Daphnia pulex: one gene and its partner. The protein of the gene in region 1 interacts with the protein of each later gene in a biochemical or structural test. Links are inferred from orthologs where the notes say so. Each region holds a gene or a part of one and is shown in the gene's direction. Other genes may lie near its edges. The genes, in order: tyrosine-protein phosphatase Lar-like and tyrosine-protein kinase ABL1-like.

Evidence for each region.
Region 2: of the proteins of tyrosine-protein phosphatase Lar-like (region 1) and tyrosine-protein kinase ABL1-like, one has a biochemical effect on the other in vitro, tested with the Drosophila melanogaster proteins (2 studies listed by BioGRID, with this or other methods). The link is inferred for Daphnia pulex from reciprocal best matches to the Drosophila melanogaster genes Lar and Abl.

Annotation. Positions count from the first base shown.
Region 1 is NC_060021.1:5,822,771-5,828,784, forward strand, and holds the end of tyrosine-protein phosphatase Lar-like, read left to right. Parts: coding exon 1-2,263; intron 2,264-2,349; coding exon 2,350-2,424; 3' UTR 2,425-4,003; downstream 4,004-6,014. Other genes in the region: lethal(3)malignant brain tumor-like protein 3, read right to left, coding at 4,183-4,323, 4,427-4,837. UniProt on the Drosophila melanogaster protein: Possible cell adhesion receptor. It possesses an intrinsic protein tyrosine phosphatase activity (PTPase). It controls motor axon guidance. In the developing eye, has a role in normal axonal targeting of the R7 photoreceptor, where it negatively regulates bdl.
Region 2 is NC_060021.1:8,607,659-8,614,328, reverse strand, and holds part of tyrosine-protein kinase ABL1-like, read left to right. Parts: exon of another isoform or gene 1-473; coding exon of another isoform or gene 474-555; intron 556-1,389; coding exon 1,390-1,641; intron 1,642-1,750; coding exon 1,751-2,049; intron 2,050-2,145; coding exon 2,146-2,347; intron 2,348-2,542; coding exon 2,543-2,876; intron 2,877-2,991; coding exon 2,992-3,163; intron 3,164-3,257; coding exon 3,258-3,370; intron 3,371-3,480; coding exon 3,481-3,623; intron 3,624-3,714; coding exon 3,715-3,952; intron 3,953-4,347; coding exon 4,348-4,407; intron 4,408-4,752; coding exon 4,753-4,847; intron 4,848-4,915; coding exon 4,916-5,189; intron 5,190-5,262; coding exon 5,263-6,670. UniProt on the Drosophila melanogaster protein: Arm and Abl proteins function cooperatively at adherens junctions in both the CNS and epidermis; critical for embryonic epithelial morphogenesis regulating cell shape changes and cell migration.

The DNA of each region.
Region 1 (6,014 bases):
GCGGGTGCAGCCCTACGTGGCGGCCAAGTTCCTGCGCCGCAACGTGCCCTACACTTTCCTGCTGGGCAACGGCGAGGAGTTTGAGGGCATGCTCAACCGCAAACTGGACAAGATGATGCGCTACCGGGTCTTCCTCCGGGCCGTCGTCGACACGCCCCACAAGCACCTCTACACGTCGAGTCCGTTCTCCGACTACCTGGCGCTGGACATGCGCGAAGCGCCCGCCGGCGAACTGCCGCAGCGGCCCAACCCCAACGTGGGCAACGTGGACTCGTCGTACGTGCCCGTCCCGTCCGAGACGGAGGAAGCCGGCCTCCTGTGGATCGCCCTGGCCACTTCGGCCGTCGTCTTCGTCATCCTGCTGGTCATCGTGGCCGTCGTCTGCTCGCGCAAGAAGCGCCGCTCTCCCAAATCGTCTGACCACTCGTCCGTCACCAAGCCGCTGATGGGCGGCGTCGGTCTGGCCGACGCCTCCCTGTCGGCCGGCGGGGCCGGAGCCGCCGGAGCCTCAACGGCCGTCAACGACCCGGTGGAACTGCGTCGGCTCAACTTCCAGACGCCGGGCATGGCCTCCCACCCGCCCATCATCATCCACGACATTTCGCTGCACATCGACGCGCTGAAGATGAACGACAATCTCAAGTTCTCGCAGGAGTACGAGTCGATCGAGACGGGCCAGCAGTTCACGTGGGAGCACTCGAACGCCGAGATCAACAAGCCCAAGAACCGCTACGCCAACGTCATCGCCTACGACCACTCGCGCATCATTTTGGAGCAGGTGCCGGGCGTGCCCGGCAGCGACTACATCAACGGCAACTTTTGCGACGGCTACCGCAAGAGGGACGCGTACATCGCGACCCAGGGGCCGCTGCCCGAGTCGTTCGCCGACTTTTGGCGCATGTGCTGGGAGCAGAAGACGTCGACCATCGTCATGATGACGCGGCTGGAGGAGCGGGCCCGCATCAAGTGCGACCAGTACTGGCCCAGCCGCGGCTCGGACACATACGGCGTCGTCAGCGTCATGATCACGGACGTCCAGGAGCTGGCCACCTACTGCGTCCGCACCTTCCAGCTCCACCGGCTGGGCACCAGCGAACACCGCGAGATCAAGCAGCTCCAGTTCACGGCCTGGCCGGATCACGGCGTGCCCGACCACCCGGCCCCTTTCCTCCAGTTCCTCAAGCGAGTCAGGGCCCTTAATTCGGCCGAGGCCGGCCCCATGATCGTCCACTGCAGCGCCGGCGTCGGCCGGACGGGCGCCTTCATCGTCATCGACTCGATGCTGGAGCGTCTGCGCTACGAGAACACGATCGACGTCTACGGCCACGTGACGGTCCTCCGTGCCCAGCGCAACTACATGGTCCAGACGGAGGACCAGTACATCTTCATCCACGACGCCCTGCTGGAGGCGGTCACGTGCGGCGACACGGAGATCCCGGCCCGCTCGCTCCACGCCCACCTGCAGAGTCTGATGCAGCCGTGCGTGCGCGGCGACTCTGGCACCCTGTCCAGCATGACGGGCATGCAGCAGGAGTTCAAGAAGCTGGCCGGCATCCGGACGCATCCGGGCCGCTTTGTCAGCGCCAGCCTGCCCGTCAACAAGCCCAAGAACCGGCTGGTCAACGTGTTGCCCTACGAGTCGACGCGGGTGATCCTGCAGCCGATGCGCGGAGTGGAGGGCAGCGACTACATCAACGCCAGCTTCGTCGACGGCTACCGCTACCGCAACGCCTACGTGGCCACCCAGGGGCCGCTGGCCGAGACGACCGAGGACTTTTGGCGCATGTTGTGGGAGCACAACTCGACCATCGTCGTCATGCTGACCAAACTGCAGGAGATGGGCCAGGAGAAGTGCCACCAGTACTGGCCGTCGGACCGATCCATCCGCTACCAGTACGTCGTGGTGGAGCCCGTCACCGAGTACAACATGCCGCAGTACATCCTGCGCGAGTTCAAGATGACGGACGCCAGGGACGGACAGTCGAGGACGGTGCGCCAGTTCCAGTTCACCGACTGGCCGGAGGAGGGCGTGCCCAAGTCGGGCGAGGGCTTCATCGAATTCCTGGGCCAGGTCCACAAGACCAAGGAGCAGTTTGGCCAGGAGGGACCCATCACGGTCCACTGCAGCGCCGGCGTCGGCCGCACCGGCGTCTTCATCACGCTCAGCATCGACTTGGAGCGGATGCAGTACGAAGGCGTCGTCGACGTCTTCCAGACGGTCCGCATCTTGCGCACCCAGAGGCCGGCCATGGTCCAGACGGAGGTAAAAACACACCGTCCATTGGTTTTATTTTAAATCTCTTTGATTTGGTTAAGTTTTAAACTCCTTTTGCTATTTGATACAATCAGGATCAGTACCAGTTCTGCTACCGGTCGGCGCTGGAATATCTGGGCTCGTTCGACCACTACGCCGGATGCGACTGACGTCAGGGGACACAGTGCGAGGCGGCCGGTGGCTCGTCGACACCGTCACCGCCTTGGTCGCAGGCCGAATCCCGACTTGCTGTCCCTCCGTGGCACGCCTTCACCACACCGCCACTCTCCTCGCACTGTGCCCTTCGATGATAGGATGATAGGACGAATAAGACAAACGTTTATGAGAGACGGATGGATGGATGGATGGAGTCCGTCTCGTCTCTTTGTCACAAAATAAGACACTCGAACAATCCTTGCAATGCCCCCACTACTCCTACCCCCACTCGTATTCCTCCTCCGCGACCTCCTTTTTTCTATGTCACTTTGCGTCTGATGTTTGGGTTCTAGTTGAAATCCATTACCGTGTGCCGTGTGGTTCCATCCGTCGCCATCACAAAGAAAGTCAAAAGAAAAACAAAAAAAAAGAAGAGAAGAAAAGTTGCGGCCCGAAATTTTTAATTTAAAAACTGGAAACTAAAAAAAAAAAAAAGAAAAAAGAAGCGAAAACAAAAGGCACAAAAAGTCAAAATGCGCGTCAATTTTTTGGGGGGCCGGGTGACTTGAAATTAAGGAAAGAAAATAAAACTTTTTTGAAATTCAGAAACCAACTCGCAACGCAAAAAAAAAAACCAAGAAAAGATTATTAAAATTGTGTAATGGCGCCAATAATGTACAGATCCGGGTGTGGAGACGAGACGAGATTTTTTTTTCTTGTTTGTTTTTAAAAAAGGAAAAAAGACAAAAATTCCCGCAAATACCGATTATTTTCAGTGTTCCGCTTTTTATTACCATACCGTACCGAATTTGTGCGCTTTTTTACGGAGCCCCACGTCAGTTATTATCGAAGGCAGCTCACACCACACCAACATTCTGCATTCTGCCATATCATTCCCGTCACGAGAAGACAAATAACTAAAACAAAAAAAATGGCACGCTGTAATTTTGGGATTTTATTTTTAACTTTGTAATTTATTTATTTCGTTGTTTTGTGCGATAATTGTTTTTTTTTTTAAGAAAACAAAACACGGAAACCGGAAAGGCCTTCCTCGGGGCGATTTCAACTTTGTACTTAAGTTTTCTTTTTTTTTTTAAAAACCGTCGAGTTTCATTTGTGTTTCTGAACGATTACAACCGATTTCCGTTGGCTCATGTCTCTCAGCCTCATACTGTCAGCGCGTTCGATCCCCCACTCATTAATGATTGTATTATTATTCTCTTCATCGTCGTGGCCAATCCTCCCAACCGTTTCATTATTATTTCCGTGTTCCTTCCCCCGTTTCATTTTGAGTTGCGCGTTTTCGTGTCGTTGGTTTTCTGGTTTTCTTTTGGGCGCAGACGAATATTTCTGATTTTTTCGAGAAAATGTTGGTTTGTGTGTGTGTGTGTGTGTGCAATTGCCGCGCGCGCGCGAGTGTGATGTGCGTATGTCTGTGTGTAAGTGTTTCTCATCATGCGTGTATGTAGCCGCTTCGCTGGAATTCGAACTGAAACTGAACTATTGTGGGCAGCTTATTTCGTTTTTCCCTTTATTGTAAATGTGTGACGATTATTACAACAAGAAAGGAATAACGAAAAGATGATTATGCAATTCCACGTCTGCTTGTTTTGAACTTGATCGGCGTCGAGATTTCATTGCATTTTGGGGGATTTTTGTCTTCTTCTTCTTCCGGCTTTCTTGTTCCAAGTTTCAAAAATGTTGGTGAGGAGAGGAGAAAGGTGGAAGGGAAATGTTGCAAACTTAGCGACGGTTTTTCTTCTACAATTGGCTTAAGCGTAAATCAGATCGTCGCGACGTGTCTGCAGACGGCGAATGTGGTTGTAGATCTTGACGGCCGGGCCCAGCTTCAATCCCATGTTGCCGACGACGTCGTTTCTCTTCATCAGCAACAGGGACGGACCGTCGATTTCCTGCCAATTGGAAAAAAAGGAAAAAAAAGGAAAAACAAAAAGGTGAGAAAATAAGAAACACACAGCTGCTGGGAACCATTTGTCGTTTTCTCGTGTCAATTACATTGTGGCGCAACAGAGCGGCCTGCTCTTCGAATCCCAGCCGGCTGAAGTAACTTTGAACGTCTTCCGAAGTCCAGAGCGAAGCGTCGGGAATACTCGGGTCGGGATTGGGGACGCAATTCCACTCGAACGGAGGGCCCTTGAGTTCCAGTTGGCGCGTGCCAAACACCCACGGACCGAGACTAATTGGCGCCAAGGGCTGAAACGACGATGACGACGAGATCTTGCTGCTGTTGTTCTCAACTTTGCCTTCTTCCGACGAGCTGTCCTTGACCGGAGTCTTCTCCACCGACTCGTTGGCTCGGCAGTCGTCGCAAGCCCAGTAACATCCGTCGGGCATAGACGCCGGTGGTGAAGCCAGGCACGAGCGGTGGAACGTCGTGTCGCACTCGCAGCATAGCAGAACCGTGTCCTATAGTGACAAGAGACGAAAAGAAACGATGAAAACACATACATAGAGGGGGGGGGATGATGTGACATTCGATATGACGATCGTGTTCGTTCATGTTCGTCATGAATTAAGGAACATTCGTGCAAAACAATCACTTTCAATACGCTAAAAGTAATCGTTTTTAAGTCATCAATTACAGGTGTTTTTATCACTACTATAAATATAGTTCAAATTAGGCTCCAAACAAGATTTATTGTGATATAGGCGAGTCTGTTTACGGCTTATGCTGGCTTCTTGTGGCCTGGTAGTGGGGGACCAAGGGGGACTGTATTTCAAAGGTGTTATCGTCGATTCTAATAATTCCAGTCAATCGAACTTACGATGTGAAATTTGAAGAAGGAATCACTTATATACAGTCACGCTTGTTAATTTCTTGAGCAGGCAAATTGCTCTATGTGTTTTTATTTCAAGTTGACGGAAGGTATACTGAGAATCAAACTACTCCCCCATTTTTAAATCCCTTTTTCACCTTTTAAGGAAAATAATGAGAGAAAGAAAAGGTGAAAAAGGGATTAAAAAATGGGGGAATAGTTAGATTTTAAGTATACCTTCCGTCAATTTGAAATAAAAACACATAGAGCAATTTGCCTGCTCAAGAAATTAACAAGCGTGACTATATTAAAAATTACAAAAAACGTTTTACGAATCATTTTGTCATCTCTGCACTTAGTTATTTATATCGGAGAGGGAAAAAGGCTCGGAAAAAGGCATCCGTCAAATGGAGGTAACGATGTAATGATGTTATTTTTATAAAATGGGTAGCAGGGAGGGAAGAAGAAAAGGTCTCATTTTTGGTTCTCCTTTTTGGCAAGACCATATGTGGTTATCCTCTGAATATTTTTTTTTAAATGTACATTTTGACCATTTTATCACAAAATGTCTCGTCCCCAACCACCTCGACCTCGGCACAGACCGAAAATTTATGAAAAACGGCTGAAAATACACGACGTCTGGTCTCTCACAAATTGATCAACTATAAGAAATTAACAAGCGATCCACGATTCAAGTAGACCGAAATCCCGGAGTGGCTTTCCAGATCTAAATCCGGAAAAGGCCTTAAAAATATAAAAAAATATAGGCATGTTTGTCTTCGCACGCCGGATTTACCTGCGTTTGCAGAATGACAAAATTCCTACCC
Region 2 (6,670 bases), about 2.8 Mb from region 1:
ACGCGTTGCTCGTATGTGTGTCTCTCTCTCGACCAGCAGCGACCGGAACGCTGAAAAATGACGGCCAGATGTCGTGCTGCGTTTCAGGAGTCGACTGTGGGAGGGACCTGAAAGGGGCCACCGCAAAAAAGAAAAGAATTAAAGAGAAAAGAGGAAAAAGAAATAACCGGTGGTGCCTCGTCCAACCGACGATTCGTTCTAATCACGAGCCGCAAAAGGAGATGAGGGGAAATTCAGTCTCTCCAGTTACTCGTCACTGGACGGACATTATCCAGTCCTTTCTCGCCCTCTCCTTTTTCGCTCTATGCGTGAGGTGTAGTGAACTGTAGTGTGCAGCCTAGAAGAAGAAGTAGTTATCTGGTTTCGGTCAAAGTTCCTTTTTCGTGAAAACCAACCCAAAAAATTGCCAAAAAAGAGAAGAAGAAGAAGAAGAGTCAAAGAAGACGCTGCTGCTGATTTGGTCGGTTTGCGCCATGTCGAATCCCGCCCTCTTGCCGCCCTCGGTCATGCGGCTCCTTCAGATCCTTTATCCTCCCGGTGCCAAGCCTCGACTTGGTAAGAACCTCACAAGTTACAAGCAAAAGTAAAAAAAAAAAAAAAAGTCAAGAGTCAGCCATTATTGATCGGCTGCTGTACCTTATTATTGATGTTCCGCCTGACTTATTCCTTTCGATCCTGTTTGTACTGACCAAATGCTGCGGGTCGAATTTCTGGAAACGGATCCTATCCGCCACGGAAGATTTGACTTATTTACTCTCAATGAACCCGTCTACTTTGGTGTAATCATGTCCGCTACTTTTTGTTGTTGGTTTTTTGAAACGAGAGAAACGATCTAGTCGTGTCGGGGAGTGCCAATTTAATCGTGAAAAATGCGGAGACTACAACAACAGTTTGCGTAGTTGGCAACTTTAGGGAAACTTGTAATGGTAGCCGTTGTGGAACAAACAGATACTTACCGAACAGCTGTTGTGCCGTGACGTCCGACCGGTTAACTGAGGTCAAAACGTGAAGATTTTTCAATGTCTTATTTTGAAAACTAGCAATTTCTAATGCAAATCCTTCGTTAACGACGGTATCTGGGGGGATTATATGGAAGAAAAGAAAAAAAGAAAAGAACACGACACACAACAGATGAGGCCAGCAGCTTGTTGGAACAGGGGCGAATTAAAAACCGGCCCTGTCTTGTTTATTACCGTTACATACACTGTGGCATTGCGTGCCATTGGCCTAGCGGTTTGAATAGTTTCCATATGAGGGTCAGACATCTTGCATGTTTCGTTCTGATTTCTCCCTTTGTTTTTGTTTCTCGTGTTTTCATTTATTTTATCTTTTTATTGTATTTTATTCTTTTTTTTTGTTTTGTTTCCTTCTCGATTGTGTGTCACACAGAGGCATTGTTGCAGAACCGGCCACTGCCAACGCTGCCCGACTTGGCGACGGGCACGTTGGACATGGACGGTGGCGGATCGTCGGGACTAGGAGGCGGCCACTGCGGTACCACCTTTAGCCTTGAATCGGCGCACCGATGGACGTCGAGAGATAATCTGCTCCATACCGAACCCGACGATGAAGACCCGCAACTCTTTGTCGCTCTTTATGACTTTCAAGCTTCCGGCGATAACCAGCTCAGCTTGAAAAAAGGTGCCGCTTTAAAAATTTTTTCATATCAACCAGACATTCAAACGTTATTTTTTTCTTTTCCCCTTATTTTTTAAATCTCTTTTTTATTATTATTATGATCATTCTGTAGGCGAACAAGTGAAAATTCTGAGCTATAATAAAAGTGGAGAATGGTGCGAAGCTCATTCGGGTTCGGGCAGGGTCGGCTGGGTCCCGTCCAACTATGTGACTGCTGTCAATTCCCTAGAGAAACACTCTTGGTATCACGGACCAATCTCCCGCAATGCAGCTGAATACTTGCTCAGTTCGGGCATCAATGGCAGCTTTTTGGTTCGGGAATCGGAAAGCAGTCCCGGACAACGATCCATCTCACTCCGTTATGAGGGTCGGGTGTATCACTATCGGATCAGCGAAGACTCGGAAGGGCGGGTAATAAATAAATCCAATCCTATTGAATTGCAAACCTCCCCCTCTAAACTTGTTTGAATGTTTACTTTACTACTTTTTTTTTATTTTTTTAAAAAGGTTTACGTCACTTCTGAGAGTCGATTCCGGACCCTGGCCGAGCTCGTCCATCACCATTCGGCCAATGCCGACGGCCTCATCACGCAATTGTTGTATCCGGCCCCCAAACGTCACAAACCTCAAGTGTTTGCTCTTAGTCCCGAGCCGGATGAGTGGGAAATTGAGCGTACGGACATCGCCATGAAGCAGAAGCTTGGAGGAGGTATTAATTCATTTCGGCCTAGGTGGTGTCCGCTTTCTCTTACTGCTCGCTGGGTGTTTGCGGTTGTCATCGTGTCGATTACGACGTGAACTAATTGAAGCGCGGGAGATGATGATGATGATGAACCGCGGCTTTCCCTTCCTGGACGATTTCGAAACCCCCCTAAACTTTTGGTCCTTTTCTATTTAATTGTAGGCCAGTACGGCGACGTGTACGAGGCAATGTGGAAGAGATACAACATGACTGTGGCCGTCAAGACGCTCAAGGAGGACACAATGGCGCTTAAAGACTTTCTAGAAGAGGCGGCCATAATGAAGGAAATGAAGCATCCGAATCTGGTTCAGTTGCTAGGCGTGTGCACGCGCGAGCCTCCATTCTACATTGTCACCGAATTCATGTCGCGAGGCAACTTGCTCGACTATTTACGAAGGGCCAACCGTGAAGAGATCGACGCCATTGTTCTCCTTTACATGGCAACCCAAGTAGCGGCCGCCATGTCCTACCTGGAGAGCAGGAATTTCATTCACAGGTGAGAATTAGCTAGGGTCCCGGGGAAATTTGATAGACTGGATCGCGCGGGGGTCTCTTAACTGCTGCCGCGATGTGTTTCATTAACCCGAAAACGTTTTGCTTATCATCTGAAGGGATCTTGCCGCCCGTAATTGCCTTGTCGGCGAGAACCACTTAGTCAAAGTGGCCGATTTCGGATTGGCGCGTTTAATGCGTGACGACACCTACACGGCTCACGCCGGCGCTAAATTTCCCATCAAATGGACCGCACCCGAAGGCTTGGCGTACAATAAATTCTCCACCAAGGTGACACTTTCCTCCTCTTTCCTGCGGCTCCCGTTTTTCCTCGTCATTAATCGTTTGTGTGAAAATGTTTCTTTTTTCTTCTTTCTTTCTCTAGTCGGACGTCTGGGCTTTTGGGATCCTTTTGTGGGAAATTGCCACCTACGGGATGTCCCCTTACCCCGGTATCGATTTAACTGATGTCTACCATACCCTGGAAACAGGTTACCGGTGAGTTATTGTGTCTACTTTTTTTTCTTACGTTTTCATTTCAACAGCTGAACTCGATTTTTCTTTTATCTCTCTCTCTCTCCCTGACGATGGGGTTTCCTATACTAAAGGATGGAATGCCCTCCAGGATGCCCGCCCCGGGTCTACGATCTCATGCAGCAATGTTGGCATTGGAGTGCCAATGACCGGCCGACTTTCCAAGAGATCCACCACGGCCTGGAAAATATGTTTCAAGAGTCGAGCATTAACGAAGGTTCGCCATTCTACTTACCAGCTTATCAAATCGATTGGAATAATTTTCTGACTGGTGGGTTGTTCCCAATTAAATTGGTTCGACTAATTAGAAGTCGAGCGGCAGTTGCAGGGTAGCAGCAGCAGCGTCGGCGTCAGTTCCTCGAGTCCACGCCTGGCCTCCAAAAAGGCCGCCAATCAGGGACAAGCTCAAAATCAGAATCATAATCGACCATCAGGTGCTGGTAGTGGTGCCGTGATGACTAGTCGTTCCAATACCGCCCCGGTGCAAATGAGACGGGCCACCAACACGAAGGGAAAGCCCGTCCCGGCCCCTCCTAAACGAACCAGGTACAACCGTCTCTATTTTTCTTTTGGCTCGATTTAATGTGTGAAGAATGTAAACGAGAACCGTCACCAGACTGCAATGAATTATAAATGAGATTGAAGAAATAATTTACAAAAGCAAAAAAAAGATTTTCTTGTGGCTTGGCGCGACGCACGCATTCTCATTTCGATTCCACTTTGCTCTCTGCGTTGTTTGCCTGGCTAAAAAAAGAGTTTTCACGCTGCTGTTGCGTTTGTTATTTTTTAATTTTCTTTTTTTGGGTTTTAATTTTTTTGATCCAACCATTTGTTCACGCCCTTGTTTGACTCATACGTGTGTGTTTTATTTGGATTTTTATTCATAATATTTGTGTTCTTTTTTTCCTTACCCGCTCGTCACTTGCCTTGACCGTTCATAGAGGAGGCAAGCCCAGTAAGGTGTCGGACAAATTAGGGCACCTGGGTACCGCACCTCCCAGGTAACTATTAACCAAATTAATCTTTGACACGCAAACACGCCGTACAAACAAACACCACCAACACCACTACCACACAACACATAATTATGATGTTACTCTTTCATCTTTTTCTCAGAGTTGTTTTGGTCAATTTTTCTACTAACGTGTTGCTAGAACGTGTAGCCATTTAATAATCGGCCGCTTCTCGCCATGGTTTTCTTCCTGTTTTCTAACCTTTGCACACACACATTCAGAATGTACAGTGCAAGCATGACACACCCTTTTTGATACATGATGAACAGAGTCGTCTGCAACTTGCCTTTTTATTCTTTCGTTTTAATTGGTTTTATCCCTTCTCCCTTTTAGTAGCTCATTCCGTGACAGCTCTTATACGGATCAAGACTTTGGCGGACCTGGCGACGACGGAAGCGATTCCAACGGCATCGAACATGTCTTCGAAGGTAATAGACTTTTTCCCGGGGCTATAAATAAGTCGTCCGTTGTTTACCTTTGGGTTGTGGATCGATAGGCATCAATAGGGATCTGCAAAGTTTGAACCACGGCGACGAGTCGGACGGCGATGGCAGCGAGGGCGAGGCCGTTCTCACGGCGCAGTCTGGTGGCAAATTTCTGCGGCAAATGTCTGAGCAGCCGCGCGGGACCAGCAGCTCCAACCGAAAGACGCGGACGTACCCACCCAAAGAGACGAGTCCCGTCTCCGACTTGAAACCCAAACCGCCGCAAAGGAGCAAGGTCCAAGTGGCCACACTCGAAGTCCATAACGTCAAGAAAGCCATCAACAGGTCGGTTATTATTTAATTACACGTTTTCTAATGATTATTAGCGGTTATCTGATGTGTTTTTTCTTCTACGAAGGTATGGCACTCTGCCGAAAGGAGCGAGGATAGGCGCTTATTTGGAATCTCTTCGTCAGAGTGGTATGACGGGCGAGCCACCGGAAGGTGTCGACCTGGAACAGGGAAACAAGGAGGAAGATTCGCCTAAATCTGGTCACGTTTCTCTGTTGCGCCAAGCGGTCAACCACAACCGAACGGAAGATCCTCGGCTCCGACCGGGGGTCAAGAATGCTGGCGGCTCCTCTTCCAATCCGACCAAAACTCCTCCTACGGTTAGGAGTCACTCAGTGTCTGGTGAGGGACCTCGAACGCCTAGCCCTAAACTCCGCAACAGCGGCCTTCGATCCAGCAGCAACCCCCAGACGCGGAATCCGCGGGAAAATTCTCCGGCTCCCAACTTGGCCGACTTGGAGTTCCCTCCACCTCCTCCACCGTTGGAAGACGACGCGGCTTCCGCCTTGGATGATAATTCGTCTGCAGCTTCTCACGACTCGATCGACGGTCCCAAGCCACGGGACCACACCCCGCCCACTCGTCCTATTCCTTCGCCCCGGGGTCAGATTAAAACGTCGTCTGTCCAAATGCGCGCCAGTTCAGTCGACCGGGTGGGCGGTGCCCGGCAGTCACTGGAAGATCAATTCTTTCTCGGCGAGGAAGTCAGCATCGAGGAGAATTCGCTCAAAAGGAATATTGATTCCAACCGAGTCAACCGCGAGTCCGTCAATGACTCTCCCAACACGACCACGGGGAGCGCCCACTCCGGCGGTCTCGTCACCAGCAAGAGCGCCGATTCCCTTTCTTCTTCCGAACTGCTGGAGAGGAAAAGCGGCGGCACCCCTTTCCACTCGATGGAAGAAACGGGCGGTGGTGGTGGCGGAATCATGAGTCAATCGATTTTCGGCATCCTTCGCTCGCCCAGCCCGTGGGAAGACAACCAACATGGGTCCGATCCGCCTCCAGAGCCGGCGCCGAGCTTGGTTCCTGCGGCTCTCAACCAAAAGACCAAACCGTCGACGCCGAGAGGCTTGCGCCATGTGGATGCCCAACTAGTGGCCGAACTCAAGGAGAAAACGGACAAGAAACCTTCCGGCGGATCGTCGATGGAGAACGTGGGACAGCAGAATCCTCCGTCAGTCCACCTGGTCAGCGAGCTCTTTGAAAACTTGCGACTCAAAGCCGGCAAGAAACCGGGCTTTACCAATGAAACGCAGACCACTCCTGAACCGTCGTCTGCCCAGCCCGCCGCCGAAGTGATGGCTCCACCTCCTCCGAGGCCCGTTCACCCCGCGCCTCAACGACCCGCTTCGCATTCTGGAACCAAGAAAGTAGATCTGACGGCCGAGCAATCCAGTTCTCAAGACCAAACCAATTCTTCAATTGTTGCTGCAGCTGCGGTGGCGGCGGCCAATAACGGAGATGGTGGAGTT